Linked DNA regions of Arabidopsis thaliana. The protein of the gene in region 2 interacts with the protein of the main gene of each other region in a pairwise test. Each region holds a gene or a part of one and is shown on either strand. Other genes may lie near its edges.

Region 1 (12,009 bases), on a different chromosome or scaffold from region 2:
ATAAGAACATAAATACGAGCTGAGAGAGAGAGAGAGTACACAAATTTGTTTCACATTCCTCTAAATTCCAAACAAATTGTTTATAGAGACACCAATCTTCTTCTTCTTCTTCTTCTCTGACAAAGTTATGGGCGAACAACAAATCTCAGTTACAGTGCCTCGTGATAGAACTGATGAACAGGTTTTGATTTATGTTACTCAATTTTTGTTTCTCCTCTGTTTTACAGATTCTTGTTTCACACTCTGTTTTGCTCTGTTTTGGTTATAGAAAATCAAGAAATTGATGCATTTCTTGAAAATTTCCAGTTTTAGCCTCGACAGTGATTACTGTTCATTCCATTACCACTTCTCTCATCTTCAAACATTGTTGTGTGTTTTGTTTTTTCCTCAAATGAAATCTCTGTTCTGTGAAACACATTAGAATCACTCTGTTCATAGTTAGTTTTAAATGGTTTAGAGATCTGTCATAGAATTCAAGATCTTTCTGGATTTAGAGATGATTAGTGATCGTTATTTTCTTGTAGGCAATCTTGGCTTTGAAGAAAGGTGCACAGCTTTTGAAATGTCGAAGAAGAGGAAACCCAAAGTTTTGTCCTTTTAAACTCTCAATGGTAAGTTTCTTTTGATCTTTCAATCATTTATCTTTCAAGGGTTTTAGTAAAGTTGTGTTCTTTTGGTCTTATGAAGGATGAGAAGTACTTGATTTGGTACTCAGGAGAAGAGGAGAGACAATTGAGATTGAGTTCTGTTATAACGATTGTTCGCGGACAAATCACAGTATGTATATATTCCTTTTGGCTCACTAAATAGTCTCTAGTTGAAGACGTTGATGATGAAAAGTGTTTCATTTTGTTCTTAGCCAAACTTTCAGAAACAAGCACAATCTGATCGAAAGGAACAGTCTTTTTCACTCATTTATGCAAATGGAGAACACACTCTTGATCTCGTAAGCTTTAGTTATAATGTTTGAACAAATAGTTTTCAAGATTAGGAGATTTGATAAATGGTGAATATATTGTTGGTGATGTAGATATGTAAGGATAAAGCACAAGCAGACTCATGGTTTAAAGGTCTTAGAGCTGTGATAACAAAGCATCATAACATTAGAAACTCTGTGAATCATCGGAGTAGTAGGGGAGCTCAAAGTTGCATCAATAGTCCTGCGGGTTTTATGCGAAGGAAACAGAATCTTGGACTTCTTGAAGAGACTCCTGACGTCACTCAGGTAACTAAAAGACACTTTCTTTAACCATTTATATATTGTTTTCGATTTCTTGATGTATCTTGTTATGTTCTTGAAGATACGTAGCTTATGTGGAAGTCCATCGACGTTACTTGAAGAGCGGTGTTTGTCGAACGGGTTGTCATGTTCTTCAGATAGTTTTGCTGAATCTGATGCCTTGGGTCCAGTTTCTTCTTACTATGAAACAGATTATGATTTCAGGAACTCGGATTGTGATCGTAGTACAGGTTCAGAACTTTGCAGGTTTTCATCACAAAGATTTGCTGCTTCTCCTCCTCTTTCTATCATAACACAGCCGGTTACAAGATCCAATGTCCTTAAGGACATTATGATATGGGGAGCTATAACGGGTCTTATCGATGGATCGAAGAATCAGAACGATGCGTTGTCTCCTAAGCTTTTGGAATCTGCTACGATGTTTGATGTACAGAGTATATCTCTAGGTGCAAAACATGCTGCGTTGGTTACAAGACAAGGTGAAGTGTTTTGTTGGGGGAATGGAAATAGTGGGAAGCTTGGACTTAAAGTTAACATCGATATCGACCATCCGAAACGCGTTGAGTCTCTTGAGGATGTTGCAGTTCGATCAGTGGCTTGTAGTGATCATCAAACGTGTGCTGTTACGGAATCTGGTGAGCTGTATTTATGGGGAATTGATGGTGGAACCATTGAACAGTCAGGAAGCCAGTTCTTGACTCGGAAGATATCCGATGTTCTTGGCGGATCTTTGACTGTTTTAAGTGTTGCTTGTGGCGCGTGGCACACGGCAATTGTGACTAGTTCTGGTCAGCTTTTCACTTATGGTAGTGGAACTTTTGGAGTTCTTGGACATGGGAGTCTTGAGAGTGTTACAAAGCCGAAAGAAGTTGAGTCTTTGAGACGCATGAAGGTCATATCTGTCTCTTGTGGACCGTGGCACACGGCTGCTATAGTGGAAACCGCGAACGACCGGAAATTCTACAACGCCAAGAGTTGTGGAAAGCTGTTTACTTGGGGAGATGGCGATAAAGGACGGTTAGGACATGCTGATAGCAAGAGAAAGCTTGTGCCAACTTGTGTTACTGAACTCATTGATCATGATTTCATAAAAGTCTCTTGTGGATGGACTTTAACTGTTGCTTTAAGCATTTCAGGAACGGTTTATACAATGGGAAGCTCGATCCACGGACAGTTAGGATGTCCGCGGGCAAAGGATAAGTCGGTAAATGTTGTTTTAGGCAATCTAACACGACAATTTGTCAAGGATATTGCTTCAGGTTCACATCATGTAGCTGTTCTAACTTCATTTGGAAATGTTTATACTTGGGGAAAAGGCATGAATGGACAACTTGGTTTAGGTGACGTTAGAGATAGAAACTCTCCTGTTCTTGTTGAGCCTTTAGGTGATAGGTTGGTAGAAAGTATAGCTTGCGGGTTGAATTTGACGGCTGCGATCTGTTTACACAAAGAGATCTCTTTGAATGATCAAACCGCTTGTAGTTCTTGCAAATCAGCTTTTGGATTCACAAGGAGAAAGCATAACTGTTACAACTGTGGTCTATTGTTTTGCAATGCATGTAGTAGCAAGAAAGCGGTAAATGCTTCGTTAGCACCGAATAAAAGCAAGCTTTCTCGGGTTTGCGATTCTTGCTTTGATCATCTATGGAGTATAACAGAGTTTTCAAGAAATGTTAAGATGGATAATCACACTCCGAGGATGCAGATGGTTACACGAAGAGTATCTGAGGATTTGACAGAAAAACAATCAGAGAATGAGATGCAGAATCTTCCACAAGCTAATCGATCTTCGGATGGACAGCCTCGATGGGGACAAGTCTCTGGTCCTTCTCTGTTTCGTTTCGATAAGATTTCGACAAGTTCTTCTTTGAATCTTTCAGTCTCAGCAAGGCGAACATCTTCAACGAAGATTTCAACCTCGTCTGAGTCGAATAAGATCTTAACCGAAGAAATCGAAAGGCTAAAAGCCGTGGTAATTAAACTACTTCTTTTTGTTTTCTTACCTGTAACAATAGTAACACATTAGACACTAAAGATACATTTTTATGAACATGTAGATAAAAAATCTCCAGAGGCAGTGTGAACTTGGCAATGAGAAGATGGAAGAATGTCAACAAGAGCTCGACAAGACATGGGAAGTTGCTAAAGAAGAAGCAGAGAAATCGAAAGCTGCTAAAGAGATAATAAAAGCCTTGGCATCGAAGGTAAAAGATACATAGTTTTTTTTAATCTTTCTGTTTTTGGTTTGTTATGTGACCGACATTTTCACGGTATCTTTGCTTGCAGCTCCAAGCGAATAAAGAGAAACCGAGTAATCCTCTGAAGACCGGCATTGCATGCAATCCTTCTCAAGTCTCACCAATCTTTGATGACTCAATGTCCATTCCATACCTCACACCAATCACCACAGCTCGTTCACAACACGAAACCAAACAACATGTAGAGAAATGTGTCACGAAATCCTCGAACCGTGACAGCAACATTAAGCTATTAGTAGATGCATCGCCAGCCATCACAAGAACAGGGTATCTCCAAAACGAAACACAAGACTCGTCAGCAGAACAAGTTGAGCAATACGAGCCCGGTGTATATATAACTTTCACGGCCTTGCCTTGCGGTCAGAAGACGCTTAAACGCGTACGGTTTAGGTAAAAAAATGTTAATGTGCTTTTAAGTGTTTATATAGTTTGAAGTACGCTTAAGTATTTATATGATTGGTTTCTAACTTTGGTTGCAGTCGGAAGAGGTTTTCAGAGAAGGAAGCACAAAGATGGTGGGAAGAGAAGCAGGTTTTGGTCTATAACAAGTATGATGCTGAAATATGAAACTAACTTTTGAGTTTACTTCTTCGAATGTATTTTAATTCATTTTGATGTTTGTTAGTGAATATATGTAATGCAGAAAAATTTCTTTATTTAAGAAAAAATGAAAAAAAAATACTGGGAAAAAAATTCCAATATATGATTAATAAAAATATTTTAATGATCATCTAGGAAATATATATGCGAGTTAAGAAAAATGTTTGTGATTTTGAGCAATGAAGAAGACTTGCATAGTATGTAAATGTAAGTAGAAATATATCTAACATGCTATCTTCAAAATGCGATTGGTTCAATATTACCATTGAGGCATTGACCACGAGATAGAAAATAAAATGATGTATATCAAATATAAAACTTTCATTCTATATTATAGAAAACGTAATAATTGACTATGAAATGTGGCTTAAAATGTGTGAAAACAGTGAGAAAGCATCTCAAAAATTAACAACGTAAAAAATAGTTTACTTATTATGTTTTCTTAAAACCTTACATTAAGTTCTAGTTGTTGAAAATTCCTTATAAATATGTCAAATATGTCACGTCCTTACGTTGGTCGATGCCAAAAAATATGACGAGCAAAAGTTATTAACTAGTATAGGTTTATACATATATATCCGTTTTTACAAGCAAAAATAGTTATCAAATTGTCTTTAATTGGTTACTTTTAATATTTTCACTAGGAGCAAAACTGATAAATGAAATTGACAAATATCTAGTCTATATGCATAAACACGTTACGCATGGATGAACAAAAATAAACATGTTTAGATGAATTATAATGAACGTGAGTTTTCCAACATTGAACATGATACCGAAAAAGCTTATTAAGAACGTTACTGAGAATCAAATTTACACGGAAATATATAAACACATTAAAGTAAAAAGAAAAGTTAAAGTGGAAAATATGTTGTGGGGTTTGCAATTGGCAACCGACCCTAAATGCTTTTTCCAGCTTCTTTTACATAATTTTAATCTCTTTTTGTCTTTCTTACAATTTCATCACTGATCGATCGAATTCAAACCCTTATGTTACGCTTCTTTCTTATATAACTGTCTCTTCATATTCTCACTCCTTCTCCTCCCTCTTCTCCTTTTTCTCTCTTAAGTTCTATAAATGTTCATATTTGTTTCTAGCTAAGAAGTTTGTATAAGGCAGTGGACATGGCTCCTGTTTCAATGCCTCCAGGTTTCCGGTTTCATCCAACAGACGAAGAGCTTGTCATATACTACCTCAAGCGAAAGATTAATGGTCGGACTATTGAGTTAGAGATAATACCCGAGATTGATCTTTACAAATGCGAACCTTGGGATTTACCTGGTATATTTCTCTCTTTGCTTCTTTTTTTTCTTTTTCATAAGATGCAAATCTATCATTTTTTTTGGTCATCCGCAAGTATTTACCATGGACGAAGGTATAAATTTATGATTCTGCATCGTTAGTACATCAACATGTTGTGTCTCATGTTAAAGAAATTTTAAATGAGACCATACCATAGCAACCGAAGGAGAAGACTCTATCTGGTTCTTTTCTAATATGTCATAATCATTTGATTGATATGCTTAGTGTAAGATCATTTTTTTTTGGAATTTAGTAAGAATAACGAAAAATAGATTCATTTTTCTGAAAACTACATAATGTGAAACTAATGTTTGAAAGGGTAACCCTTGAGAGAAGAGACACTTGACGTCCTTTCTTTTTCGAAGATAGATGTTCTTTCCCTCTTTTTCCTTAACATAATATAATTCCCATTTTATTTTCACATTTTTACGTACCAAGTTATGTATCTCTAGTCACGCATCGAACTTGGAATCGAACGTGAATGCTTTATCAACTAAATAATCTTTAATAATTATGATCCCAACTTTATGTTAGAATAAAATTTAAATGGACCCACCCTTATCTTTAGTCTTTAAAAGGATTGTAATAAAACCGAGAGATGCGGTGGTGACTAGTGTGAGACAAATTCGGAAGACCGAGTCAAAAAAGGTAAGAAGATTGAAAAAAAAAGATAATAAGTAACTCACAATAATTTCACATGTGCTTTAGGGTTTTGGAAGCTTCTCATTCACCTTCAACTTTTTGTTTTAAATATAAAACAATCTAATGTTCTCTTTATTTGTCTTTTCTTTTTTAATCTTTTGGATTCTCATGACATGTTATGGAATCTTTAAGTAGTGTGTACAAATTAAGATTGGATATAATTTATCTTAATTGTATGATCCTTGCAGGGAAGTCCTTGCTGCCAAGTAAAGACCTAGAATGGTTCTTTTTCAGTCCTCGAGACCGGAAATATCCAAACGGATCAAGAACAAACCGGGCGACCAAAGCAGGTTACTGGAAAGCCACCGGGAAAGATCGTAAAGTGACTTCACATTCACGGATGGTTGGAACAAAGAAAACATTAGTTTATTACCGAGGAAGAGCGCCTCATGGCTCTCGTACCGATTGGGTCATGCACGAGTACCGTCTTGAAGAACAAGAATGTGACTCTAAATCCGGTATACAGGTAAGCTAACTTTTAAAAAGGTTATCAAAAGATTAAGATTCTTAACTTGAATATAAACCAATGTATAAACATTTCAGGATGCCTATGCACTTTGTCGAGTATTTAAGAAGAGTGCTTTAGCCAACAAAATTGAAGAACAACACCATGGTACGAAGAAGAACAAAGGAACGACTAATAGTGAACAATCTACTTCTAGTACTTGTTTGTATTCTGATGGAATGTATGAAAACCTCGAAAACTCGGGGTATCCAGTCTCACCTGAGACAGGAGGCTTAACTCAACTCGGTAATAATTCGTCGTCGGATATGGAAACGATAGAGAATAAATGGAGTCAGTTTATGTCGCATGACACGTCCTTCAACTTCCCACCTCAGTCTCAATATGGAACAATCTCATATCCTCCCTCGAAGGTAAAATTTAAACTATATATCTCAAAGAAATACAAAATTAAAATTGGTGAATATGTAACCTTTTGTTTTCAAACTAATCTCTTATCCATTGAATTCTCCTCATATAATAGGTTGATATAGCGTTAGAGTGTGCAAGACTACAAAATCGTATGTTGCCACCAGTACCACCACTTTACGTAGAAGGTCTCACACACAATGAATATTTTGGAAACAATGTAGCTAACGATACAGATGAAATGTTGAGCAAGATTATAGCATTGGCTCAAGCCTCACATGAGCCACGAAACAGTCTAGACTCATGGGACGGTGGTTCTGCTTCCGGGAACTTCCATGGAGACTTTAACTATTCCGGAGAAAAAGTCTCATGCCTAGAGGCGAACGTGGAGGCTGTAGATATGCAAGAACACCATGTGAATTTTAAGGAAGAAAGACTTGTTGAAAACTTGAGATGGGTAGGAGTATCAAGCAAGGAACTTGAAAAGGTAGTGATATTTTACAATGTTAAGTGCAAAATATTTTATGTGTTAATATATATGTTATCAAATATAAGTATATGTTTGATTTATTCTACAAATTTCAGAGCTTCGTTGAAGAACACTCAACGGTAATTCCTATAGAAGATATTTGGAGATATCATAATGATAATCAAGAACAAGAACATCATGATCAAGGTAGCTTTCACTTCGCGATTTCTACATTTGGTTGTCTTTCTTGACATCTCTGGATTTGATTTTTTTGTTTTGTTGTTGTTGAAGATGGTATGGACGTTAACAACAACAATGGAGATGTGGATGATGCTTTCACACTCGAGTTTTCGGAAAACGAACATAACGAGAATCTTTTGGACAAGAACGATCATGAGACAACGAGTTCCTCATGTTTTGAGGTGGTAAAAAAAGTTGAGGTTAGCCATGGATTGTTTGTCACAACTCGTCAGGTAACCAACACATTCTTCCAACAGATAGTACCATCGCAAACCGTTATAGTTTATATAAATCCGACGGATGGCAATGAGTGTTGTCATAGTATGACATCAAAAGAGGAGGTTCATGTCCGTAAAAAGATAAATCCGCGAATCAACGGAGTAAGCTCAACAGTTCTTGGACAATGGAGAAAATTCGCGCATGTTATTGGCTTCATTCCTATGCTTCTATTGATGCGTTGTGTTCATCGAGGTAACTCTAACAAAAACAGAGGCAGTGAAGGTTACTCGAGGCAGCCTACGAGAGGAGATTGTAACAATCGGGGAACAATACTCATGATGGAAAATGCTGTCGTGAGAAGAAAAATTTGGAAGAAGAAGAAAGAGAAAAATATGGTTGACGAACAAGGTTTTCGGTTTCAAGATAGTTTCGTATTGAAGAAGTTGGGGCTTTCTCTTGCTATCATCTTAGCTGTTTCTACCATAAGTCTTATTTGAATACTGAGGTTCAATATATCATATATGGCTTTTCACTTTTCTATTGTACTCCCATTTGCCTAGGTCGTATTTACTCTCATTTGCTTTTTCCATTTCTCTAAAGTCGTCTAAACAAAACTAGATTTGGTTATTTTCTGTTTATGTATTAAGTGATATGATCTCTCCGCGGGTTGAACGATCAGTCTTCTGTCTGGTTTTTATTATTATTATTATGTTTGCATGCACGTAAGACGGTAAGAGCAGATTATACGAACATTAACAATTTAGCCATCTTGTATTTCAGTATTTTAGTCACTATAGATATGTGAGTAAGTTTATAGTCATTTTCATAATAACTTGTTTATTATAACGATTGCTGTTCCATGTTTTGCAATGTATAGATCATCAAAAATTACTATCGAGCTATTTTGTTCTTGAATCTTGACAGATAATATTTAAGAATAACCTATACGGTTCAAACTGTCGGTTTCAATATTAAAACAAATGTGAATGGAAGATAGAGAGAGGAAAAAAACCTCTCTTACAAAAGAATCTAGGTGCGTCAGAGAAGCTCGCCAATCTCATGGAGCCAAGATTTGCTTTCCTGGCTCTTAATAGTTTGTATGGATCGGCGATTGAAACTTCATTATTCTCTCCCAAACAAAACATAGAATAAACGAATGTGTCTAACGCTGAGTGAAGAGGACTAGACGGACTTGCCCCGTCATAATATGCATATTACGATACGTTGCAACATTAACAATGTCGTGAGTATGCATATCTCATAACATACCAAATATCGATACGTTTCAACATTGAATTTTTAATATCTTAGTCATTAGCAATTAATAATTAAATCTTCTTTTATATGAACAAATTTATGATTTACAAAAAAAATAGATGTTATGTTTCCATGGATCATGTTTTCAAGCTTGACCGAAAACAAGCTGCTAAAAAGTGTCATAAAAGTTTGGTACTAGTACAACTAGGATTTTGTAACTCTAGCACAAGAACCAGTTCAAAAGATGATTATGCATACTGGATTTTTATAGATATTGTTGATTCTTGCATGGCAATCAAAGAGTTTGGCAGCTAGGTATACCTTTAGGGGTGATGTCGACACCTCTCATCTAGCCTTACTTGCTGAAGTATAACTACAATTGAATCTCACTCCCCCTACCAGAAACTGTTTCCTTCCTCATCTTCATTAGGATCAGATCGGATCACAACAACAAACTTCGTCGAACTCAACCACGATGGACAGTGGTGGCTGAGGTTCGTTGCCTGTTTTAGGGTTGAAGATTGAGATGCGTTAAGTGACTTGTGAGACTTTAAGTAACACACAACGACATAATTTAGGGTACTTGGGCCTTAATGGGCTGGATTGGAGTGTTACAATATACAAAGTTCATCGGAAGTTTAGGTTTATTTTAAAAGATGTTCAATGTGGATCCTAATTTCATGCGTTTTAAAATACTTTAAACATAAATCCCAACCAAAAACAAAAAACTCCCAATATCCTTTGAAATTTACAAAGTTCTTTGAAAGTTTAGGTTATTTAAAACATTGTTCCGTTGAAATATGGATCCATTAATTTTCATGCGTCTTGGTAAGATGTATCATATTATGGATATGGCTTTGAGCCTTTGACTTTATTCCTACTTTAAAGTTACAACTTAAATCCCATTTAACCAAAAAAAAAGAAAACAAGAACTCCCATATCCTTTGAAATTCAAGAAAAATTAATGATACAGTTGGTATATATCATTAACAATAATTACAACACCCTAAAATGATTATAATTTGCGTTATCTTTTACGATCTCAAATCTTGGAGTCGAGATTGTGGTAATGGGGATTGGGATGCACGTGGTGATACGTAATGGGTGTAGACAGAAAATCACAAGAAAGCGAAAGTGGTAACTATTGAAACACAAAGTGACAAATCAAATAATAGTCGCGTGCTTTCTTCACGGGTCACCTCCTCTATTGTTCTCACAATCAATCAAAACCTCACTTTCCAAATATTTTTTATATTTTTCTAATTTTTTTTTTGGTTGTGGTAAGAAATTATTTCATTGTGTTATAAACAGCATTGAGATCGATTTTTAAATTTCTTAAACGGAATTAACCAGAAATTTATACATTTATTTGTTTTTCACATGCTTTTGCAACCTTGACACAAGTTTCAATCTGTTTGAACTTCCATCTATAGGAATTGGAGAGACATAGGGATAATGAATCAATTGTCCGTATAAACACTATACTAAAATGAATACAAAAGGGTATTCACATGTATGAAGAATGTGAAATAGTGGTTGCATATACATTTACACTTGAGTGAGGATGTCCAGTGAGGCAAATATTCCATCTGAATTCCACAATTATTCTTAAATCAAACTAAAAACAAAAAGTACATTCCAACAGAATTCTAGCATATAGAAAAAGTTTATTTATTTTTGCCAACAACAATAATAAAATATTTCTCCCTATCACTCTCCACTCTATCTCTCTCCCTCTATGGAAAACCCACAGATATTTGTCTTGTGAATTCAAGAAGAGCCAATCTAAATTCAAAAAGGGTTAATTGTGATTTTGTCTTCTTTCTTCATCACCATTAACAGTGATAATGTCTCCATTGCCTTATAGTTCTTGGCCTCTGATACTATTGTTAGTATTGTGGTGCATGGTAGCTAGATTATCAAACGGAGCTTCCAACAATGTAAAGGTTGGAATCATTTCAAAGGTGGAAGATGCTACGAATTTCCATATCTATTATGGACAGACCTTTAAAGTCATCAAAAACGCCATTGATGGCAAGAGCTATCTCCTTATTCAGGTTCTTGCTCTTTTCTCATTAACTTATCTTTCATCTTTTTGTTTCCAAATGTATGGTATGGTTCGTGTCTGATAATTGAGGATAATATGTAGAACACTTCTAGAATGGCGGTTCGGACAAAGTATTGTACTTCCAGGATAAAGTCTTATGTGATTCCACTTCTAAATTACTCATTAGACACTCAATCTTCTCAAGGTATGTTCTGTTTTTTTCTCCCCTGTTTCATTCCTCTGTTTAACAAAATTCTGTTGTTTTAGATCTCTATGTTTTCTCTTATGCAGGAAGTGTTCCGGTTTCTTTCTTTGAGGTAAACACTCCTTTCTAGTATCTCAATACATAAGCTCTAGACTTTTATTGGCACTAGCCAAAAAATTCTATAGAAGACTAGGATCACACTTTAAAATGTACCAAAAAAAAAAAATGGATTTAGTTTTGATTATATGCAGTTACTTGGATTACTCGGAAGCTTGAAGGGAATAACATCGGATGAGGTAGTTTCACCGTGTCTTCTGAAACTGTGTGAGGCAGGGGAAGTAGTTAAGCTTGACAAAGGTGAACAACTATCTCAATTCGCGGCGCATTTCATCAGCGATACTGATCAACCTCAGACTTGCAATTTTGCAAACTTTTTTCCACTTAGTGAAGGAACACCTCTTCAGGTGCCAATTATTATCTTTGCATAGTTCTAAACCTAACCAAAATTGATAACCATTACACATTTTGATATGAGGTTGTGCTGGTTTTGTAATCTTGAATAAGCGAGCGGAGTGGATCAAATTCCTTGGAGCGTTTA
Region 2 (9,521 bases):
ATTTACCTTTGGATAAATAGAACTTTGGAGATATTTTGACACCACAAAATGGCTGTCTGAAACTGTGCATAAAACCCAAATGTGTTGTTCCTTTAATGACAGTAACCTCAGAAAGAGAAACAGAATCCATTGTAGATCAAGAAGATCTATGTGGTAAAAAGAAGAAGGAGAAGGATTTTTCTTGAAAAGGAAATCGTTTAAAGAACTTGAAATTTGTTTACAAGCATTTGAGCAGATTTAAATCTTAAATAAGAGAATGAAAGAGAAGAAGGAAATGGAGAAGAAAGAGAGATGTGTTGAGAGAGTAATGTTAGATTTTTTTGAGGCACACTTATAATGTGTGGTTTAAAGTGGATCGAGTGGTTAAGTGAGAAATGAGAAAAGGAAAGCGAAGAACAGTTTTAATATCTTACAATCAAAGACAAAATACACGTGAATTTCCAATTGAGCTGCGATTTCAATTTTCAACCGACCAAATATTACAACCCTAATAATATATGTACATTTTTATAATATTACATATAGCTACGTGTTTTATTTTTGGATATAGACATATAGCTACGTGTTGTGTCTATCTTTTACAATTAATAATGTCTTAGAGATTTTATACAATTTTTAAGAGGGATATAATAACTTATATAAATGAATCATTTTTCCAATACAAATTTTAAATAACATTTGGTGTTACAAAAAGAAACTAGAATAGATTTTTGGTAAATATCAATCACATCAAGCCAATGATATATTATAAAATAATCCAAAGCTTTTGGATATGAAATACAGGATGGTGGCATGATTTTTAATTTTAGTACAAAAAGTTATAAGCAAAAATAGTGAACGAAAAATGCAGGGAAAAAGGAATCAATAGTTAGGTATCAGAGAATCTTTAACATGTTCGAGAGAGTTGTCTGTGCGAAGGAATCTTCAGGAGTTCAAGGATGGATAAACGGATATATCTCAATGATCCAATCCCTCTCCTTTGGAAAGAGGCTCTCTCTTCCTCACGCTTTTTACAATTTCGTCCGTTGATTTATCTGAAGCGTGTATCTCACACAAGTATCCACGAGAATGGGATAATAAAGCATCTTGTCGTTGCTGGAGCTACGTGGAGATGGGCCTTGATGGCTTAGATTCCTTGTCCTTTCTGTTTAAAAGTATTTTAGTTCATTTGGATTTTTAATTTGTACGTCAGATGCGTCCTTATGCTGAAAAATGTTTGCGAAAAGCTAATCAAAAGTATTAGAGAAATTAATCCCTATTAAGCAATAAAGCAAACCATATATGTAACCCATCCTCTTGCGAGAGCCATGATGAAGATGGACAAAAGATATCTTGTTGTGGACCAAAAGGTCGATAAGTTTGATAAGTTGATCCGATGGACTTGGAAGCTCTCCGTGTCTACGACTAGTACGCTCCATCCAAATAGAGTGGAAACTTAATTTGTAACTTCAATAGAAACATGTTTTGGAAAAATAATATAGGGTTATTACGACTCATTAGCAAGTGTTTACATTTTTTCGCATTGAATAACATTAACCTCAATTATTTTGTTACAATATATATGTGAAGGTTTACTTATTCTAAGCAGATTTTTACCACATAAACATGTAAATGACATAGATAGTTAGGTTTGCGTTGATTGAGGAAATGATTATTCGTTATGGGAAATGATGACGTTCAGAAAAATTATCTGCAATAATTGAAAATCATGGAAGGATTAGGTATTGTCCACGTAGGATAATTAGGTAACCTGAAGTGCATGATGATCCTCATTCGTGATAACATTGTGTCTTCCATTACAATTCTAGAAAATTTAACCATTTGAGTATGTGTGGATAATGATGTAAAGCTAACCATTATTCGTGGTCGGGTTTTCCAAATAAATATGTTTGGATATTGAATAGTCGTATGATGACGAGCGATTCTTACCTGATTGGTATTCTATACAATAATATTAGCATGCAAGATTTAATATGTATTTTATTTTGAGGTCGACGCAAAACACATACTTCATTTATTTTCCTAACAAAATTTCGTAACAAACTGTGTTATACCACTTTTGTTTGATTAGCGTTCATCTTCGAAAACGATTTAGAAAACCCAATTTCATCTACGGAGATAAAAACAAACTAATAATTTTTGGGTAAAGTTTGTTTGTAGTTCCAATTATCTTTTGTGTTTCGATGTATAAGATAGGTTGGTTTAGAACTTACCCAGCCAGAACTTCTGGATTTCATAGGTGAAAGTATATATTCAAAGTTTAGACCACAAGGCCCATTAGTGACCTTGATGAATGATTAGATAGTGTGTACTGAAAATAATATCTTACAAGACGACCCAACAAAATTCTTCGATTATAAGAAAAGGTTCTTAGCAGATTAGATGTCAAACCCGAAATACCAAAAGAAAATTAGATGTCGTCAAATCTAAAATACTAAAATACGTAGAGAATTCGCCGTGCAAGATATATTCTTCTGGATACATGCATGGATGGCTTTCACATTCGTCATGTAACTAAGCAAAAGTCTAACCACGTGGGAAATATTTTGACTAAGTTTATCCATTTTTTATCCTAAGAATCGACTTGTTCAGACAGAATCACGGTTATGCATTTATTGTCTGAACAACTTCACATAACGCCGGTCAATATCTCATGTTTGAATCATTCTTTTTATACTAGGTTCTACTATAATTCCTCAATTAATGTCAATGCAATTGACATTTATACTAGTATAATCTATATGTTGAATTACTCCGATTTCTTCTAGTACTCATAATAAATTAACGTAAAGCTAAATTATCCGTAATCATTAACTGAAATAATGTATTGTGAATTGTGAAAAAGAATGAACAAATAGAAAAACGCAAAAATATGAACAAATAGATGTTTTTTTCATCGCATGCACCTACGTGTACGTCCACGTCAGCATACACATCGTTCAAAAACTCAAAAAAAACTAATCAAACAACGGTCAACTGGGAATAACCAAACGGTGGATGAGGAGATAACGGCGACAGAAGCGGAAAGTTAAGAAACCCCGTTAAATCCCAGTCACATAATTCCGTTAAATTCGACGTTACAAACGGAAACGTCTCTCCACCGTTAACGTCAACGCTCTGTTCCGTCTTCAACACTTTCTCAACCACAGTCACTTTCTCATCATCGTCTCTCTTCCGTTTCTTCTCACCTTCATCGGCGCGTGGTTTCCACTTCCCAACTTCAAGAGGGAAATTCAAAATCGCTTTCGATCCTCGTAGTCTAAACGCTGCTTCGTCATAAGCTCTAGCCGCTTCAATCGCTGTATCAAACGTCCCAAGCCAAACGCGAGATCCGCGTTTATTCGGGTCACGAATCTCCGCCGCGAATTTCCCCCACGGTCTTTGTCTTACTCCTCTGTAATGCTTCTTCTCTTCTTCCGAAACCGGTTTAGTAACTTCCGGTTTGGTGTTTTCAGCTGCGAATTGAATCCACTCTGTTTTAGCTGGAAGCGAAATCTTCAATGGCGGTTTACGAATTTGAGATTTAAGCTCCGGTTCAAACTGATTTTGATTTTGATTAGAAGGTTTAAAATCGAAATCAGAAACAGAAACTTCTGAGTCAAATTCAAATGGAATCGATAGAAATTCCATAGATCTGGGAGTATCGAGATCGATGATTTCAGGTTTGCATACGGATTCAGAGAAATCAATTGGGGCGAAAGAAGAGGACGATGATCCGAAGATGATAGAAGAAGAGTCAGAGCTAGATTCTGTTGCTGATGATGATTCGTGCTTCATCCATGGATCTGTAGCCACAGGAGAAGCCTCGTCGAGTAGATGTTTCTCGATGAACCAAAGTGCAGATACTTCGTTAGGAGTCGCCATTGATAAAATTTTCAAAAAGCTTAAGAAAACAGAGAAGGAAGAAGATTTGATTTGAGTAGAGAAGAGGGAGTGGAAAGAAGTATATATACATGTAAAAGAAGCATTGGTGACTTTGTCGTGAAATGGACTTATTCAATGGAGGTGATGAATATAATTTGAATTAATTAAGGAACAAGAAGGAGCCAACGAACCATCCTCTCTTTCTTTTAAGTTTTTTATAATATGATTTGGTGTAAAAGAGAGCACCACTTGGTTGCGTGTTTCGTGGACTCAGAGCCGTTGGATCGAATGACCGACTCATCTATAGTCGACATTGTGATTGTTTTCGTTTTGTACTTGACTGCAATATTGTTTTTGTCTCTTGGTTATAAGATATAAGTGAGATCGAAAATCTATCGCAAATATATATTAACTAGTCCAAGAGTTATATTATTCGACTATTGCGGTCGTTTTCTTGAACAGAAAAGATGTCGATGCTTGACAAAAATAAAATAAAAGATGTCGAGATTTTTAGTATTCTAAAGTTCAACTCTGTGTACTAATAGCAGCCATATAATAAAGAACAAAAATGAGCTTTTATCCGTCTTTCACGAAGTTCAAATGCAAATGTTAACACCAAAATATCCGGTTTTCATCTACGTTTTTATTTTTGTTCATGCACCAAATTGACCCAAAAAAACATATATACAACAATGAATATTTACAAGCTGTTTTCCATTGTTTCTAACTTCATATATAGTTCATACATAACTTCATTGTTATGAGGCTTCGCCAAGTCAAAGTGTGAAATATCTTTTTTTAATTAACTACTCCCTCTGTTTCAAGTTATTTGATATTTTGAGTTTTTTTATTTGTTCCACCAAAATTGATGTTTTGAAAAACTATCATTATTATTTTTGTTTGTAACCAATAATGAAATGAGAGAAGTAAAATTAATATTATTAAACTAACTAAAAGAATAATTAAAAATATAAAAGTTACTTTTCTTAATTCTTGTGCAAAAACCCAAAATATCAAGTATCTTGGAACAGAGGGAGTATAAAAAACGAATTATAATTGACTGAAAGCAAAACTTTAAACCATGCGCAGATTTTCCCAACGTATCCGCGCGCACATAGTTTTTCTTCGCAATGTGTGAATATGATTTTTACTAATCCAGTTTTCTACTTTCCGGAATTGGATATAGATAGAGAAAACAAAACCAATGCTTTTATGGTTTATTGATCCCAAAAGGCTGCAAACAATTACTTCAAAGTTTCATATATAGTAACCTTCATTAGCTAATCTTGATAAAGTCTCCATAAGGTCCAATAATCTGCTTCTGATTAAGCTTTAAGTCGTGTCACAGAGACTCACATTCACTCTGCGTTCAAAGGTTCGTTACGTAGTTTATACAGTTACAGGTAGACGCGCACTCCAAAAATAAGCGTTTTCTTATACAATAGCATATCCGATGCTAATTTGCCAATATTGCGAACAAATTTTAACTCATATGTTAAACAATCAAAACCAATTTCACACCGCTCAGTAATGGATAATGCCAACATTGTATTGTAGTATTATATTATCCTTCTAGAAGATTTTTTGCGAGGTAAACACAAACGTAACTAAAATGATAGTAAAGCATTAAAGTCTAACCAAATACAACTCAGAAAATTTTCGGTTATGATTAGGTTGATGCATTATGGAGGGTTTAATTAGTAAGCAAGACAAGACTGAAAGAGTCAAGTCAATGCATGCGGCCTTTTATTGACAGAGATTATTAATCATACAAATTTTAAAAGATGATATACTATTGAATTATGTTTGGTTTCGTATTTAATTTGATCCATCTTCATGCACTGCACCATGCACGTGAAAAGAATTTACGCGGTGCATTAACTGGTTTGTAGAATGAATCAACGACTCACTCACTAGATTCTAGAAAGTCATGTTGTTACTTGTTACAATGAAACAAAATAAAGTTCACACTTTTAATAAATGATATAGCAAATCAGAGATTTAATATAAAAATTTATATTTAATAATTTCTAGAAAGCCAAGTAGTCTTTTTAATTTATATAGTAGTCTTTTTAATTTGTTGTTGTTGTGAAACACTACTCTTAATTATTTTTGTTTTACAAAATTTGATATTTTATAATATAGATATCAATTTTATTAAGGAATGAGAAGTTTTGTACTTAACCAAAAAAAAAAAGTTTAACCAAATTAAAGAAGCTCTTTCTTACCAAAAGAGAAGATAATAAATAAATAAATTAAAAGAAACCCTGCGACGATTGGACTAGATGAAGAAGTGTTACTCAAAGACGAGTCAAGTTTGCATTACATATCATCATAGTTTTTGTGGTTCTTCTTGACAAGACGATTGCGTCTCGAATCAGTCGATCAATATAGCCTTGAAGATTGCTTGCTTAAAGTAGAGGAAACATTGTTGTGTAATCTGTTAATTATTTCGTTCAATCTCTATTCCTATAAATTGTTGCCTGAGCAACAAGCCCGTTGAGATTAATTCCTTGGAGAAATGTTATTAGCAGTCGACCCTAGCCAACTGGAGAAAGTAGTCCCATTTATCAACTCACTTACTTCACATCAAATAAAATTTGACGGACTGTAAGATTTGACATTTGAAACAATCAAAACTCTAATCTAATGGCCCTAAGCAGCTAACCAGTTATGAGGTCACATATCAATACAAAAACATTTTTTGACGTCTAAATACATTATTAAGGAACCAATAAACAATATAACAATCATATGGTACTAACAAAGCTTTTTTAGCATCCTAAACTGTGTGTCGTTTTCTTGAACCAATCTGGTCTCTATTTTTGTTTCATTTTTTTTTTTCTGTCGTTATGGGACAACATATTTAATTAGCGTCACAAAAATGATTATCTACTTTTTCCATATAAATCTACATTCCAAATTTAAAGGTCAAGAAAATATTATTCCAATGGAAAATTATAAGTTTAATTGATCAATCATACATAAACAACTATTATCACCAACCAATCATCTATGTGACAATTACTCCAACATTATAAAATTGTATAACTAAAACTAATTATTGTGATTCTTATAGAAAAAAGTTACCATTCATTTGTCGAGAATCTTTGAATTCTCAATCTAACGTTATAATAATAAGAAATATCGTCTTCTGTTGAAGAAAACCTCAAACATTGCGGTGGGAACGCACGTGTGAGGTTGTTTGCACGTATGGAACTGAGTTTGCTACTAATAAAAGATAGGTTTGAAAAGTCAGTGGTCAAAGTCAAACATGACTAGATTTGTTCAACTTCAAACTTTTGAATACTGCTGACGTGTCATATAACATCTTTCCTTTGATCCTTCCTTTTGCATTGTTTTGTGTACCTTTTGCATCCAATTGCCTACATATAGATGTGTTGATTAAAATGAATTAGGAATCGATTAAAGTTAACAAAATACACTAAACTGTAGATTATATATAACTGAAAGCTGAGTTATTTTGGCTATAACAAAAAATAGAAGACATTTCATTGTTAAAAAATGTAAGATCAATTTTATCATCAGCTTGTAAATGAGAAGCATCTTCCATGAAAAGTTTGTATGCATAAATCCGAGACACTAAATTTATGAATATTAGTGTTCGGATATAGTGTAACTAATCATATGGGTGATTTTTTTCGTCAATTACATCATGAATCTAAACTCTAATTGGTATGTTTTTGGAGTAATTGAGAGGAAAAATAAGAAAATGAATAGAAAAGCGAGTAAAGGTGTGAATAGAAAAGAGAAAAATATTTACGCTATTCTTCTAATTTTTATGCATGATTGCTCTGATTCGTAATTTTTTTTGGCAAAAACATAGTAATATTTTAAAAAAAACTAACAATGTGTACCAATCACTGCCTACATAATTTGTGTCGTCATTTTCCCTTTTATGATATTTTATCCTCTGTATTTGTCTTGTCTGAAATATGCGATCGTCCGTGTAAATGTTGCTAATTCCGTAAATCGTGTTTTTGCTAAAACTTGCCTTTAACTTGATACTTAATTTCTGCACAATAATATGTGATAGAAAATATATTATAATGCTCATTATAGTATAAATTTTTTTTTGAAGAGATATGAACAAAAACATTGGTCAAAAATCACAGTTGTAAGATTAGGTGAGTGCTTTTGTTGGTTGGAAGAAACTTTTTTTTAAAGCAAACTATAGGCGAGTATTTTTTTTTTCCGGGTTAAAACTCTATATATTATTCTATGGATAAGCGCTCTCGTTTAAAGAGAGCCAATCGAGAACCGTTGAACTTACATGGGAAAAATAGAATCCGCGAGTTCTTGCACATTTCGCAAGATAATCTGCTCGGATATTACTAGTACGGGGAACATGCATAATATTAAAAGATACAAGTTGATTCTTAAAATACTCGAAATCTTTTAACTCTGATGCAAAAATGGGCCACTCCTCCGGCGTATTAACCATAGTGAGAAGATCAGAGCAATCCGTCTTAACAAGGACTTCCTTGATTGATAAGTCTACTAAGCACTTTAAAGCCCAAACTAATGTGTCTAGTTCTGCATGAAGCGGTGATAAACAACGACGTGAACCCTTCAATCCTAAATGAAGCAATCTTTCCCCACGGGTCAAAATCCACCCATGACCGCTCCGCGAATCAGTTATATGCCAAGACCCATCAATGAAGCAGATTGGGGAAGCCATATCTATATGTTGCCCTTCCAAACTTGGCTTGGTACCTTCTGGTTGCTCTTCTCTCCTATTGGCTCGCCTCCATACTTCTTCCTCATGTATTGCTAAGTCTAAAGTGTCTTGAGGTTGCACGCAAATACTTTCGAAATTTTTTCGGTTTCGCGCTTTCCAAATATACCACATTATCCATGGAAAGACCCGTAAGCTCTCCTCACAAGCTCCAATCTCATTCGCTCTCCAATACAGATAATCGAGATTATTGTATATAGAAGACGAAAGAAACCTAGATGGAGAGGAGGGAATACCGGATAGCGCCCAGACTTGTCTTGCCGGGGGACATTCAAATATTAAATGATTGATGGTTTCTTCATCCGCCCCACATCTAGGACATTTTTTATCTCTACCAATATGGCGAAAATATAGGCGTTGACAAGTTGCTAAACACTCTGACACACATTGCTACACAAAATGCTTTAGCTTTCGTGTAGTTTTTAATTTCCACGCTTGCGCCTTTAGTGCCGTAACACTAGGTCCCTGAAGAGGGTGGTCGCAAGACGGGCGAGAGAGGGCTCTCGCAGCTTCATATCTTGTCTTGACAGTATAATTACCGAACTTAGTCAATGTCCAACTATATCCATCTCGCGAGACATTTAGCCTCGGTTTTATCCCTAAAATCAAAGTAATATCCTCGGGGGGGGGGGGGGGGGAACAACTCCCGTAGACGATCTACTTTCCACCTCTTCGTCTGGAAGTCAATCAAGGTGTTAACGTAGACCAAAGGGTTCCTATCCATAATTAAACCTTTCGGTGGTCTTGGAGGAGTATCTGGGATCCATGGATAATAGGCGACTATATGTTCTAGGAGGTTGCACAAAGAAAAAGTTTGTTCTAGCATAATATGAGAATAGATGATTTACGTCTTAAAATTAAACTATCACCGACTAATAATAAGCATAATAAGATGTGA
Region 3 (12,258 bases), on a different chromosome or scaffold from region 2:
GCAAACCTTTTCAACACGGAATTCTTTCGAGGAGTCTTTATCAATCAATGCAACAAGCCTCTCAACAGATTTCCGCTCACGCACAGGGCGATCAGAGAAAGGAGTCCTAGGCTCTGCATCCTTTTTTACTTCCTCGGTTTTATTCTTCTCGCGAACCTTTCCTCCAGAACTCGTCCCTTTCCCACGCTTTTTAGAACCCTTGCTCTCTTCTTTTTCATCTTCTTTATCATCATTTGTCTCCTCTTTCTCATCTTCCTTTGCATCTTTGCTCTCCACTTTTTCATTGTCGTTCTCATCCTCACTCCCTTCTTTTTCATCTTCTACCTTTGACTCATCCACCTCAGCCTTTGCCGCCTCAACTTCCTTTGTTTTATTTTCTTCCTTATCTTCCTTTTCTTTTCCTTCAACATTCTCCACTTGTTTATTTTCATCCCCATTCTCCACTTTTTCATCCATATCTGTCCCTTTGTCTTCATCTACCAGTGTCCCTTCCTCTTTGATGTCTCCTGTATTGCCATCTTTTGTTCCATTTGCTTTGTCAGCTTCATGTTGTATGTCCTCCTTCCCAGCTTTTTTGTGGTCTGCCTCAGTAATATCTGTCTCTTTGGTCTCTTTTTCATCATCTTTGGCATAGTTATTGTCTTTAGATTCCACGTTTTCCTTCATTACAGTATCTTCCACTGAAACACCATCATCAGTTTGCTCTTTCTTTCCATCGGCATCTTCATCCATGTTGGTAGCCTCTGCTTGTCCCTCATCTTTGGTGACCTCAACCTTCTCTTCCATTTTTTGAGTCTCAGCATTGTCTTCATTTTTCTTAACCTCTGACTCTTTATCTTCCGTCTCAGCTTTTTCATCATCTTTCTTAATCTGAGCATCTATCTCCATATTGTCTGGCTCAGCCATATCCTCATCTTTCGCCAGTTCTTGTGTTTCCTTACCCCCAGCATTCTCCTTTCCAGCCATAGCCTCTGATGGCTTTTCAAGAGAAGTAGTCTTGTTTGCGGTTGGCTCAATGGTTGCCTTTGTATCTTCCCCCATATTACAAACCAGTTCAGTAGATCCTTCCACCAAAAACACTTCTTGTGGCTGTGAATGAGAAATCAGTTCAGAGGATTAATATTGCTACGATAGCAGAAATTAATGCTCTCTATAAAGAAATTGAACAACTTGACATAAAGAACATGTAAAACGCATTGAATTCACACTTAGCATATATGCGAAAAAAAACTAATTCCAGGAAAACAACATCTAAAACTTGGCTAGTCAACAATAAGACAAATCTAATTTAGATCTCATTATTGATCCATAATTATCACTTAATCCCACTTTAGATCTGCAGAAGAAGAACTAAATGGAAATTTCGCGTAAGTCACTAAGAAACCAAAATCTCGAAGGTTCATCATTTATCCTCGCTTCTTATACATTCAGTAGAACAAAGATCCAGATGGACAAATGAAACCAAAAAACACCCTTTCATTCAGACAAATCTCCAGAGCTTACACCACACAGATTCAGACAAAACACAAACCCATCTTGAATCTCTCGAAATCAAGTCAATCAACGTCAAATTCATGCATTTTGTCAACAACTTAATAGCATCAGATATCAAAAAGACAATAAATAATCAAAACATCGAAATTCACAAATAAAAGAAGCGCATGAGAAACCCTAACTTCTCATCGCAACTTTAAACAAACACAAAGAAGAACCAAAAGAACATGCGAATTCAAACAAAGCTCAAAACATAAAAGCTCACAAAGATTTAAGCAGAGTATCCACAGGGTTCTAAAGCAGAAGACTTCGGAATCTCACCTCAGAGTATCACAAGACTCGGCACTGAGTTTTTTTTCTCCTCTAACTACTTTTTTTCTTACAAAACAGAACAAATAGCTTTTGTTTTTCTTTTTGATAGCGTTTTTTAGGAGAGAGAAATTCAAGGATTCGGACGCAAAGCCAGATTTTAAATACAATTTAATGCCACGTCAGGCTTAGGATGAATCATTACCGTCCGATTTCATTGCTGTAATAGAGTTCATCAACGGTTCAGATTTTATGTTTGATGCATCTCGTGGATCGATGACGCTATAAACTACCCTAACGTCCGGTTCCGAACCAGGTACCGAGCCTAGACTTTATATTTCAAGGATTTTATATTAGGTTTTTGGACAAAAAAAGTTAACATATTCAATGTTTGTGACCTATAGAAAAATATATTTTTTTAACTACAAATTTAATTTGGTAATTTTTCAATGATATGATAGTTTTGTAAATAAATTATCTATAAAATTACTATATAACAGATAAAAATAAAATTGATACGTAATAATTGCTATATCGGTTTAATATTAATGAAATTGTTTTACTTCTTTATGATAAGGAAGCTAAGTTTATGTGATTGAACAAATGATTAAAACAAACTCTTTCTTAAAATGTACTTCTTTTTAAAGAAATTTAACGAATTCGTTGAATGTTCAATTATAATTGATTTAAACAACGCTATATTAGGTAAAATGATCTAATTGAATAGAATTGTATAAGTGACTTTAACAAATTTTGTTATTTTATATTTAAATATTTTTTATGATGGATTCGATCCGCTACCATAAATAGCGTTGTCAATTTTTGCAAAAAAATTAACATGATAATCCGATTTTTACCTTTCCGCAAAAGATGAAAATGATTCACTGGTCCGGTGAAAAAAACAAGACTATTTTGACGACGATGATTATAAATGACTTATAATGTCATTAGTTTGATAGCGACAAAATTTTTATTTGCTTAACGGGTACTATGATCTAAAAGAATCTAATATGTTTGTCTTTAACAACAGTAAATGCTTCGGAAAAAAAAAAGTTCTAAATATGAAATTAGAGATTGTAACTTCCACCAAATAATCTAGATACATGTAAGAGAGAATAAGGTTACTGTTTTAATTGCCAATCTACTTCTTGCACAAATCTCTTAATTTTGTATAGAGACTGTATAGTATAACCTTCCAAATAATTGAACAAAGTTTAATATTGTCCCATGGTAAATCACCTAGTCGAAGTATTTATATCTCATTATTATGAGTTTTTGACAAATCTAGAAGTCTAGAACTAAAAGTTGAGAAACTATTATTGAAAAACGGGCAACAGTTGTAATTGTCTGCTTAAGGACCACGTAGCTTAAGTACCGTCGTGGTGTTTCTTTCATGGAGCATATCTAATTACGGTGAAGAAGAAATAGTTTGTAGTAATATTGCTGTTTCTTGTTTAAATAAAAGCATTAACATCTTGTTGTGTATTTTTACATAACATTTTTGGAACTCAATACAGGTGACACAAACAAATATATATGGTGGAGATAGTTTGAATCAAGATCAGCTCTCTGTGAAGAAATAGGAATTATATAGAACAAGGCCTCGTCCCATTCCTAACCTAAGAAGATCCCGTACATAATGTTGCTTACTTTTTGTTTTACGGACCCGATTGTACTCTCCCCATGTTGGGCGGATATGGGTAAGATGAATTGTTCAAGGACGAGATGTCACCATTTTGAGTCTCGTTCTTTGTTTCTCTCTGGCCGTACTGATTCATACCGCTATTTAAGCTAGCATAGTAGGATGACATGGGACTAGCATGAACAAACCTGAAATTGACTCCATTTGGGTGAGTTTGGTTGACAAGTTGTTGATTCTGGTGCTGATGTTCGTTGGAAGCGTGGTTAGGTCCATCAGATGAGATTCCAACACCAAGATTGAGGCTGATGGTGTCTGTTTCATCTGGTCTGAACCGAGGCTGGATTTCGTGATTGCTGCTAGACTTTGAAGTGGGAACATCATGATCGTGTTTGCCTTCGTATGTTGTTATTACAGCTTTTGGATCATGTGATGCTCTCTCCACGTGTTTTCTCACTGGGCATCCATGAGCTGTGCATTTGTAGTAGCTCCTACAAAAGGCCGAGGAACATCATGAAACATAATATCTCCATTGCGCACATGTTGAGTCTGTTAAGATCACTATCTTCCATATTCCAAACCAAATTCCTAAAAGAAGCAACACTTTATGCACATGTCAAATAACTAGGTCCTGAAGACAAGGACTAAACTGTTCTAGCTACCATTTTGAACTCGCAAGTTATGTTTATGTATGTTCATTCGAGAAAAAAGCAAGGAATTTTTTGGGGTGTTAAAAGCTTTAATGCTGTACAAACCTGGGATTTGGGTTCCCCCTTACGACTTTCTGCCCATATTTGCGCCATCTATAACCATCATCCAGAATGTCAACCTCACTCAGAGTTTGAACAACAACCCGAGGCTCCCGGATGGGTTTCACTAGTGGAGTTATTTCCATCGCACCCTCCATCCTCCTACATAAAGTTAAAATAAAGTTTTAATCATGTCAAATCACAGATTCAAATCAAGCACCTGAATCCTTTGTTAAACTCTAATACCTCCGTTTTGAGAATGGATCATCATCGTCCGGCTCATCTTTATTCCTATTTGACGCTGCCGCTTCTCCACCATCGTCAGATGCTGAGATAGGAGGTACTTCAGGGTTACCAGTTTGTTCATTGGGGTTAGACAAGTTGTAGACGCCAGATCCCTTCTCTGTATGCAGACATAAGAGTAGAAGGAAAAAGTTATAGATATTGCCAAGGGAGTAAGTGCATATTTGTCTCAAGTTTTAGTTATGATTACCATCTCGGCCAGTTGAAGAAGGATACTTGTCTAGCCTTTCTTCTTGTGCAGCCATACCACCAGAGTTTCGGCGACCAGGTTGAGGTTTAGGATGGTCATGTGTACCCTTGTATATAATATCGGTGATCTGCCCATCATGAGATCTTTCAAATAACTTTTTCACTTCACAATTAGGATGTGTACATTTATAATAGCTCCGGGGAAATTCACTCCCTTTGACATGCTTTTGACCATATTTTCTCCAGTTATAACCATCATCAGCCAAGATGGATGGAGTGCTTCCTCTGGAGTCATTTTGGGAAGTCTGGATTGATTCCTCTTGATCAGATCCAGCCGGAATATCTGAGCTCGTTGGTGTCATCTGACAAGGAGGAGTTGGCCGGCTTAGCTCACTTGAGGAACCTGCAGCATCACTGATCGAAGAAGGTGAGTGTGAGGATCCATGGCCCTGGCCTTGAAAATGTACTGGTGGCTCACTTCTAATCTTGCCAAGCTCTGCATATACCTTGAAATCAATAAAGATGTTTAGACAAAGTCATCCCCCAACAATATACAAGTAACTTATAAACTGTGAGCTTTTGGATACAAGGCTCCTTATGAAACAATTTAAGGCTGGCATGGTATTATATGTATGCAAAGGCGAAAGATTTTGAGATTTACAAGCAATCCAAGCGCTGAATAAATAGACTTCGTGCAGAAAAATTAGGTCAGCCACTGTTCGGGGTTCATATGTCGTCGACTATCTGAACAGTACATTACATGCAAAGCATAACAAACAGCATTGTTTTGGACAATACCATATTTGATGCAGGAGGTCTGAACTCAAATTCACTGGACTTCTGCTCAGTAAAGGTGTTCTGATGGAACCCCCTGCCTGTATAAGAACTTGAGCTAGCAGAAATGTGCACTGGTCGAGGCTTGAACAAAGAACCAGTAGTAGGGGAAGGTTCTGGCTGAAAGTTAAAGAAAGTGGCATATTATTAATGGCATGAATAAAACAATACATATCAGATTTTGTAAAACATGAACCTGATCTATCAATAAACATGATGTTTTAAAAAAAACAGTCTTCTAAAAACAAAAACAATATCTTGTTCAATCAAGGGATAAGAAGATATAACTAAGAGATGCAAAATAAAATTGAGCACATAGCATATAACCTATTATTCATAACTTAATTGAACAAAACGAATACTCTATAGATCTAAATGGTGAACATGCGAGTAAAGTACATTTTCTCACCAACAGAATCATTCAATAGCTCATATAAGTAAAAGGAATCCCCACACAGACGCAGCTAACCGAAACCTAAATGTACAAAGAATGGAAAAAGAAAAGAGAAGCACCAAACACATGGAAGATAGACACTAGACAGTATGAAGAAGAAACGACAAAGAGCAAGAGGATATAAATAAAGTATCCAGCACCAATAGAACATGATAAAAAAAAAAGGTTTATTCGAAAGAACAATCTGAACGGACACAAATGCAAACCAATGCAGAGTATAGTAGCACAAAGAATCAGAATCTTGGCCAAAGTCCCTAACGTAAGCAAACAAATCATAGTTTTTTAATCACTTGTAATGGACTAAGAAACAAAAATGGAAACCCAAGTCCAATGTTTTTCCTAGTGAGCAAGCAGAGAGCATCTCCACCAAATTACCAGAAATTCCCCACTAACATGAACAGTGATCCAAATCGAAATTGAAGCAACGAGAAACCGAACAAGTGGGACAAAATGTCAATGTTATGAATCAATTCCAATTCCAAACTCAGTTTCAAAATGGCACAATCCAATTTCATGAAAAATCCTTTAGGTCTTAAAAATATGAAATCAGAAAACCTAATTTCTCAAATCGACAACAAAAATGAGGTGAAACTGTGATTGCATTTACCAAAATCGAAGAAGAAGAAGAAGAAAGAGATAGTAAAGTAGCTGCTTAAACCTTGATGTTGGAGATGAAAACAGGAGATTCCAAAAACGAAGTCGGACTCAACCCAGGAGGAATCGTGATATCAGTCGACCTCGAGATCGGAAGCTTGGCCGGTGACATCAGCTTATACCTAGCACCTCCACCTCCGTTTCCTCCAGCTGAATCGTGCTTTGCCGTGAGATCTCCCGTCGCCGAACAATCTCCCTGAAACTCCTTCCGGTCATTAGCTTGAGGGTTCATTTCAGAGATTCGCAAGGGTAGAACAAAAATGAAGGAAAAAAGAAGCTAAGGGAAAGTAGAAGAAGCTCTCAGCTATGGCGAAATGAGAGAGATTTTGGTCTCTGCGTTAGTGAAGATTGTAGTGAAAGATGAAAGAACGATATTGACTTCACACCTCTCTTAATTCTTTGTTTTTCCTTTTCATTTTTTTAATAATTTATTTTCTTCTTCTTCTTTTTCTCCTTTATTTAGCTTTATCAATTTCTAAAGCAACAACAACAAACGTTAAAGTTGACAAAAACAATTAGAAGATGTAAACAATCCTCTTTTTTTTTCTCATGTACATTTGTCAAAATGTAAAAGATAAAAAAGTTAGTGTAATCAAAATTGCTTGTTTAAAGAGTTGTTGGAACCAGAAACATCCTAAATCTCAAAGTAAGAGTGTTGTAGCATTGGTAGATTGACACAGTCAGAAGCAGTATTGTTGATGATAATTAAGGATCAGGTATCAACAGTCTCAGGTCTTTTAAAACTTACCTTTTTGAATCTTTTGTGCGCCAATGATCCGTTGCTTCGACTCTCGTCTATCTTATCTTCTGCGATGTTTATCAATAGTTCAATACCGACGCTGAAATAAATGTATTTGCTGATTTGTAACAAGTTTCTATTGTGATGAGGCCAAATATCAATCGCATCATCGACAATTACCACTCTACGCTCATCAACAGCAAGAAGATCGAGTGTCTTCTCATAAGGACTTTGTTCTCTGGCTAGGACTCGATCTCCAAAGTATATTTTTTTCCGGATCAATCCACTTCAACACGGTCTGAGCGTAACTAGAATCACCCATTGTGTATACGTGCATGATGAAACGCTTGTTGGCTTCTAATAGAAATTCATGAAGAAAAGGTCGTAGCTTTATCATATATTCGCTGGGAGTGGATCTCTGTTGATTCTCCACAGATCTGACCTTGAATCAGCTCCTTCGATTAGATACTTCTGCTCTTCGGAAAGGTCCGAAACAAGTACCGAGTGGACAAGCGTGTGGTCCAAGTCAAGGACTAGGTGAAACTTCTTCTTCTTATCATCGTTGAGACAGGCCATTTTTTTCTTGTTTTGGATTTTGGTTGCAGAGTATGATTGTTGGCTCCAAACAAGTGAAACTCTGTAATCGAAAGAGAAACCCTAATTTGATCGGTGATAATGAAATTGATATGCTATGATTATGTATTATATAGAGAGGATATGTGTGAGATATCTTTGGGCCGTTCTCAGTTTCTTTCATTGGTTTAAATGGGCCTAGGCCCTTGAGTCAAATTACCTACCAAATTATGTGGGAGTTGAATCGAATTTTTTTTGTTAAAAATTTAAGCTATTGGTTTATCTTGTGGGGTAGCGGTTGTGTTCTATTTGCGTGGATAACAGTTAGGATATATAATGGTGAGTGGTGACATTCTGGATCCAAGTTGGTCCACCTCAAATCTTGTTAGAGAATTTTTCAAAAAAAAAAAAAAACATGTTTCTTTGGTTGTAAAACTTCCAAAATGTGTAAAAGATAAGAAGAATATGTGTATATATCTCTCAATACTGTTCAATGCCGTTTCAGAATAAAACTATGTAATTCTTTTCTAAACCAACAATTGTTTTACTTGTATTTTAAATAATTATCAATCCATGTTTTGATAAAAACTGATAATTCGAAAGTGGGTAACTCGGTAAAATGATAAAGCAACAGAAAATATATCATAACTATTCAAAAATATGTGACTAGTGAAGATTTTAGATAGTAATTTTTTCTTGGTGCAACACTCATATCATATACATAGTCTTGTCATTTTTACATATTAAATTTAATGTCTAGATTAACAGAAGAAATAAGGAAAAACTCGATAACTGTTTTTTTTTGGTAATTAAAAAACTCTAAGAAAATCTAGAAACGGAAAAGTTTGCATGAAAATTTCCAAAGTTCAAAAAGGTGTTGTCCCCTTCACATAACCACACCATCATCATAATTTTGATCAAACATTTGACCAAGAAAAAGGGGTGGTTTCACTATTTTAGTTTGGTGTACTTAAGATTTTGAATTATTTAAAGTTCACGATATATTGGCATATACCTCGAAGAATGGTGATCTTGTACTCAAGTGCTGGAGGAGACCTTTAATTTTTAGGAGTGAAATTCTCTTCAATTTGCAATTTTCTATTTGATCACGTTGAAGATTTCAAAAACATTTTTTAATCCAATTTTGTATGTTTGAAATTAGTCAGGAATTCGGCATATGATTAACTGCTTATACACAAGTATTCTGAAATAAACTAAGATGTTTTGGAAAAAAAAAAAAAAAAAAAAAAAGTATTTTAAACTCATATTACATTTTTTTTCTTCGCAAACTAGTATTACCTTCTTACTAGAACAAGTAAACAACTATGGGATCAATGAGGTCATCGAATGCCAAATATGAATTCTATTATTGGCCGTCTACAAATTAATTAATGGATATAATGCAACCCTTGGATACTCATAAACATCATTATGCCCAAAAAGAACATTAGAGGTAGACTTTTTCCTCTACACAAGAGAAGCTCAGCTGTCTACAGATCCTATCTTCTCCTTCTCATAATTTTATAGAAAACTATAGTATATAGATAAAAACTATATTGTTTTAGGCGTCATATATAAGAAATATGCCCACGCAAGAGAGGATAAAAAAAACACCACACAACAGAATATTTTCCCTTATAGGTAAAGGTAAAATGTCAATGGAACATAATATTAAAATGATTAAATTTGATGCAAAAATATTATTTTGTATATTTTCATGTAGGGCATATGATTCTATCTTTGTGATATAAAAAGATAGCATCGAGTACCCAGTTTTAAAATTATGTCAACGTAGGCATATCACAAGTGAAAAACAAAACGTAGACAAATCAAAATATTAAAAATGTAAAGGTCTTATCATAAGTAGAATGTGAATTTGTTAATAGAAAATATGAAAAAGTCGTTAATAACATAAATGTGTATAATATGTATCGTGGGTTCGTATATTAGATAGAAGACAAGTCACCTACGAACAAGAAAATGTACTATGTAGTAATCTTGGAATATTAATGTAATTTCTCTCTAACGCTCAATTAATATATAACGTTGTCACTTGACTCACTTTATCTCTTAACCATTCATTTTCTGGTGTTTTGTGTACCGAATAACATACTGATTAATTATTATGTATCCGTCCACTTGTTCGTGATTTTGTAAGGTAAAGTCCAAACATTTTGTAAATAGTCTGAAAAGACCAAAAAAATTCTAAAACATAACGCTAAGTAATTCACCTAACTTAAATTATATGAGACACTAATAATTTCGGAAACTTTGATGACGATTTTAGCTCAAACATTATGTAACTATTTTCTAATGTTTGTCCCAGTGATTATGATGATATGAATATATGATAATTTTTAGATATTTAAATTATTTCAATACTTTTGTAGATAGTGATTGAATACATTATACCTTACCTAATTAGAAATTAACTCATTCATTCACCTATAGTTTTTACAAACACATTACTGGTTTACAAACTCATATTATTATACGCTGATGACATTTATATAAATCATTAAACTACAATGTATGTTCTAAAAATCTTCCAATTTTAAAGTAAATAGTATAAAATTAAATATATGCATAAAGTTTAAACTTAGTTTGTTTCCAAAGCAAGGAATAATGTGCAGGGATTCAGAACTTTGGAAATTCTTGTGAGTTTTTTTAAAATTATAAGAACTTTGGAAATTAAACTTTAGAAGAAAATCTTCATACAATCATAAATTCAGCTACAATTGAAAAGTTGTAGAAGAACAAAAATAGACAATGAAATTAGTGTTTCTTCAAATAAAATGGAACATTTTCTTTTGATGATATTAATTAGCCTTTAGAAAAGTTGTGATACTCATAAATTGAATTACTCATTTTTTCTAGAGACTCCATAAATTGAATTTAATCTCATAAGAAATGTAAAATCTATTTTTCAATTGTTTTTATCACAAATAAATTATTGGTTAGAAAGTGAATTATTGAGATGAATATATATATATTTGTGGGAAAAAATAAAATTTAAAAATAAAAAGGAGCTATCATCTTCCATCATCTGTCTTTAGGGCCTCCCTCTAAGTCTAACAACCCTAAAATAAAAGATTCTAACACCAAAAGAGAGAAGCAAATCTCAAATTCTTCCCCTATTATTATATGTGACTGTTGTTGTTTTTCTCTCTTTTACCATCTTTGGCCTGAAGAAAAAAAAAAGGAATCCTTCTTAATGGATTTGGTAAATCAATTAAGAAAGCATTACACAAAATAAAAAAGGAAAGTTTTTTAATAAGCTTCATTGAGAGAGAGATATAGAGAGAGAAAAGAGAGAGAGGCCATATTTTGATAAGAGAAGAAGAACCCTTATAGAGAAAGAGAAAGAGAGAGACAGAGAGAGTGGATGGATGTCTTATAGAATGAACAAAACATCCTCTGTTTCTCTTGTCCTTGTCCCTTTTTCCAGATCTTAAGGTTTTCCACATTTTATCATCTGGGTCCTCTCCTTAATGGTGAATTCTCCATCTTTACAAGTTTGATGTTTTTGTTCATCAAATCTGGCGTTTTTTTTTCTCTTCTAATATATATTGTCTCTGCTCATTTTCCGTTTCTCTTCCCATTGATTGTTCTGTTTCATTTCTGTTTTTTTTTTTTCAATAGTTTTGATTGGATGCTTTGATGATCCATTGTCAGATTTGAAGACACTCAATTCCTATTTGATCGGGGACTAGAATTTGGATTCTGTTTCAGACAAAAGTAGATTTCCCTGTCTCTTTCCCGTTTGATTTTCAATAAGATGAATCCGGAGGTAAAACATTGAACAATTCTTCATAAATCTCAGAACTTTGAGCTTTTTTGAATCTTAAAACACGATCGAAGTAAAAAATCGAATTGTTAGATGAAATGGGCAATCGTCATTTTCGCAAATCTGATCCGTATTTGTGAGATCGGATTCATTGGATCGACTTTGGGGTTTTGCAGGAGCAAAAGATGGAATCTGCATCGGATCTGGGCAAGCTCTTCATTGGCGGGATTTCATGGGACACAGATGAAGAACGACTGCAAGAGTATTTTGGCAAGTATGGAGATTTGGTTGAAGCTGTGATCATGAGAGACCGTACTACCGGACGTGCCCGTGGCTTTGGGTTTATCGTTTTTGCAGATCCTTCTGTTGCCGAGAGAGTCATCATGGACAAACACATCATTGATGGCCGCACGGTTAGTATTCTTGGATCCATTGCTTGACAATTCATCTAATTATCAGTCTTGAGTAATCGAGTGTTCTAAAGTCTCGATCTTTCTGTAATGATTCTGTCTTAGAGGTCTTATTGGTCTCGCT

The links.
Region 1: the proteins of ERF5 (region 2) and NAC028 interact in a two-hybrid assay, tested with the Arabidopsis thaliana proteins (one large-scale study listed by BioGRID).
Region 3: the proteins of ERF5 (region 2) and WRKY20 interact in a two-hybrid assay, tested with the Arabidopsis thaliana proteins (one large-scale study listed by BioGRID).

What each region holds. Positions count from the first base shown.
Region 1 is NC_003070.9:24,517,323-24,529,331, reverse strand, and holds NAC028 (NAC domain containing protein 28), read left to right. Parts: upstream 1-5,071; 5' UTR 5,072-5,223; coding exon 5,224-5,380; intron 5,381-6,291; coding exon 6,292-6,569; intron 6,570-6,646; coding exon 6,647-6,979; intron 6,980-7,089; coding exon 7,090-7,461; intron 7,462-7,559; coding exon 7,560-7,650; intron 7,651-7,734; coding exon 7,735-8,399; 3' UTR 8,400-8,664; downstream 8,665-12,009. Other genes in the region: AT1G65920 (Regulator of chromosome condensation (RCC1) family with FYVE zinc finger domain-containing protein), read left to right, coding at 128-181, 525-611, 688-777, 860-946, 1,031-1,225, 1,302-3,212, 3,298-3,444, 3,527-3,888 and 1 more; AT1G65900 (plant/protein), read left to right, coding at 11,007-11,216, 11,309-11,411, 11,498-11,523, 11,663-11,875, 11,976-12,009.
Region 2 is NC_003076.8:19,174,415-19,183,935, reverse strand, and holds ERF5 (ethylene responsive element binding factor 5), read right to left. Parts: upstream 4,056-9,521; 5' UTR 3,865-4,055; coding exon 2,962-3,864; 3' UTR 2,754-2,961; downstream 1-2,753. Other genes in the region: NUDT8 (nudix hydrolase homolog 8), read right to left, coding at 7-130; AT5G47229 (uncharacterized protein), read left to right, coding at 4,087-4,242.
Region 3 is NC_003075.7:13,433,837-13,446,094, forward strand, and holds WRKY20 (WRKY family transcription factor family protein), read right to left. Parts: upstream 7,161-12,258; 5' UTR 6,858-7,160; coding exon 6,630-6,857; exon of another isoform or gene 5,939-6,629; coding exon of another isoform or gene 5,927-5,938; exon of another isoform or gene 5,638-5,926; coding exon 5,482-5,637; exon of another isoform or gene 5,190-5,481; coding exon 4,685-5,189; intron 4,595-4,684; coding exon 4,438-4,594; intron 4,354-4,437; coding exon 4,198-4,353; intron 3,934-4,197; coding exon 3,462-3,933; 3' UTR 3,169-3,461; downstream 1-3,168. Other genes in the region: AT4G26630 (DEK domain-containing chromatin associated protein), read right to left, coding at 7-1,041; AT4G26650 (RNA-binding (RRM/RBD/RNP motifs) family protein), read left to right, coding at 11,716-11,727, 11,901-12,137. UniProt on the Arabidopsis thaliana protein: Transcription factor. Interacts specifically with the W box (5'-(T)TGAC[CT]-3'), a frequently occurring elicitor-responsive cis-acting element.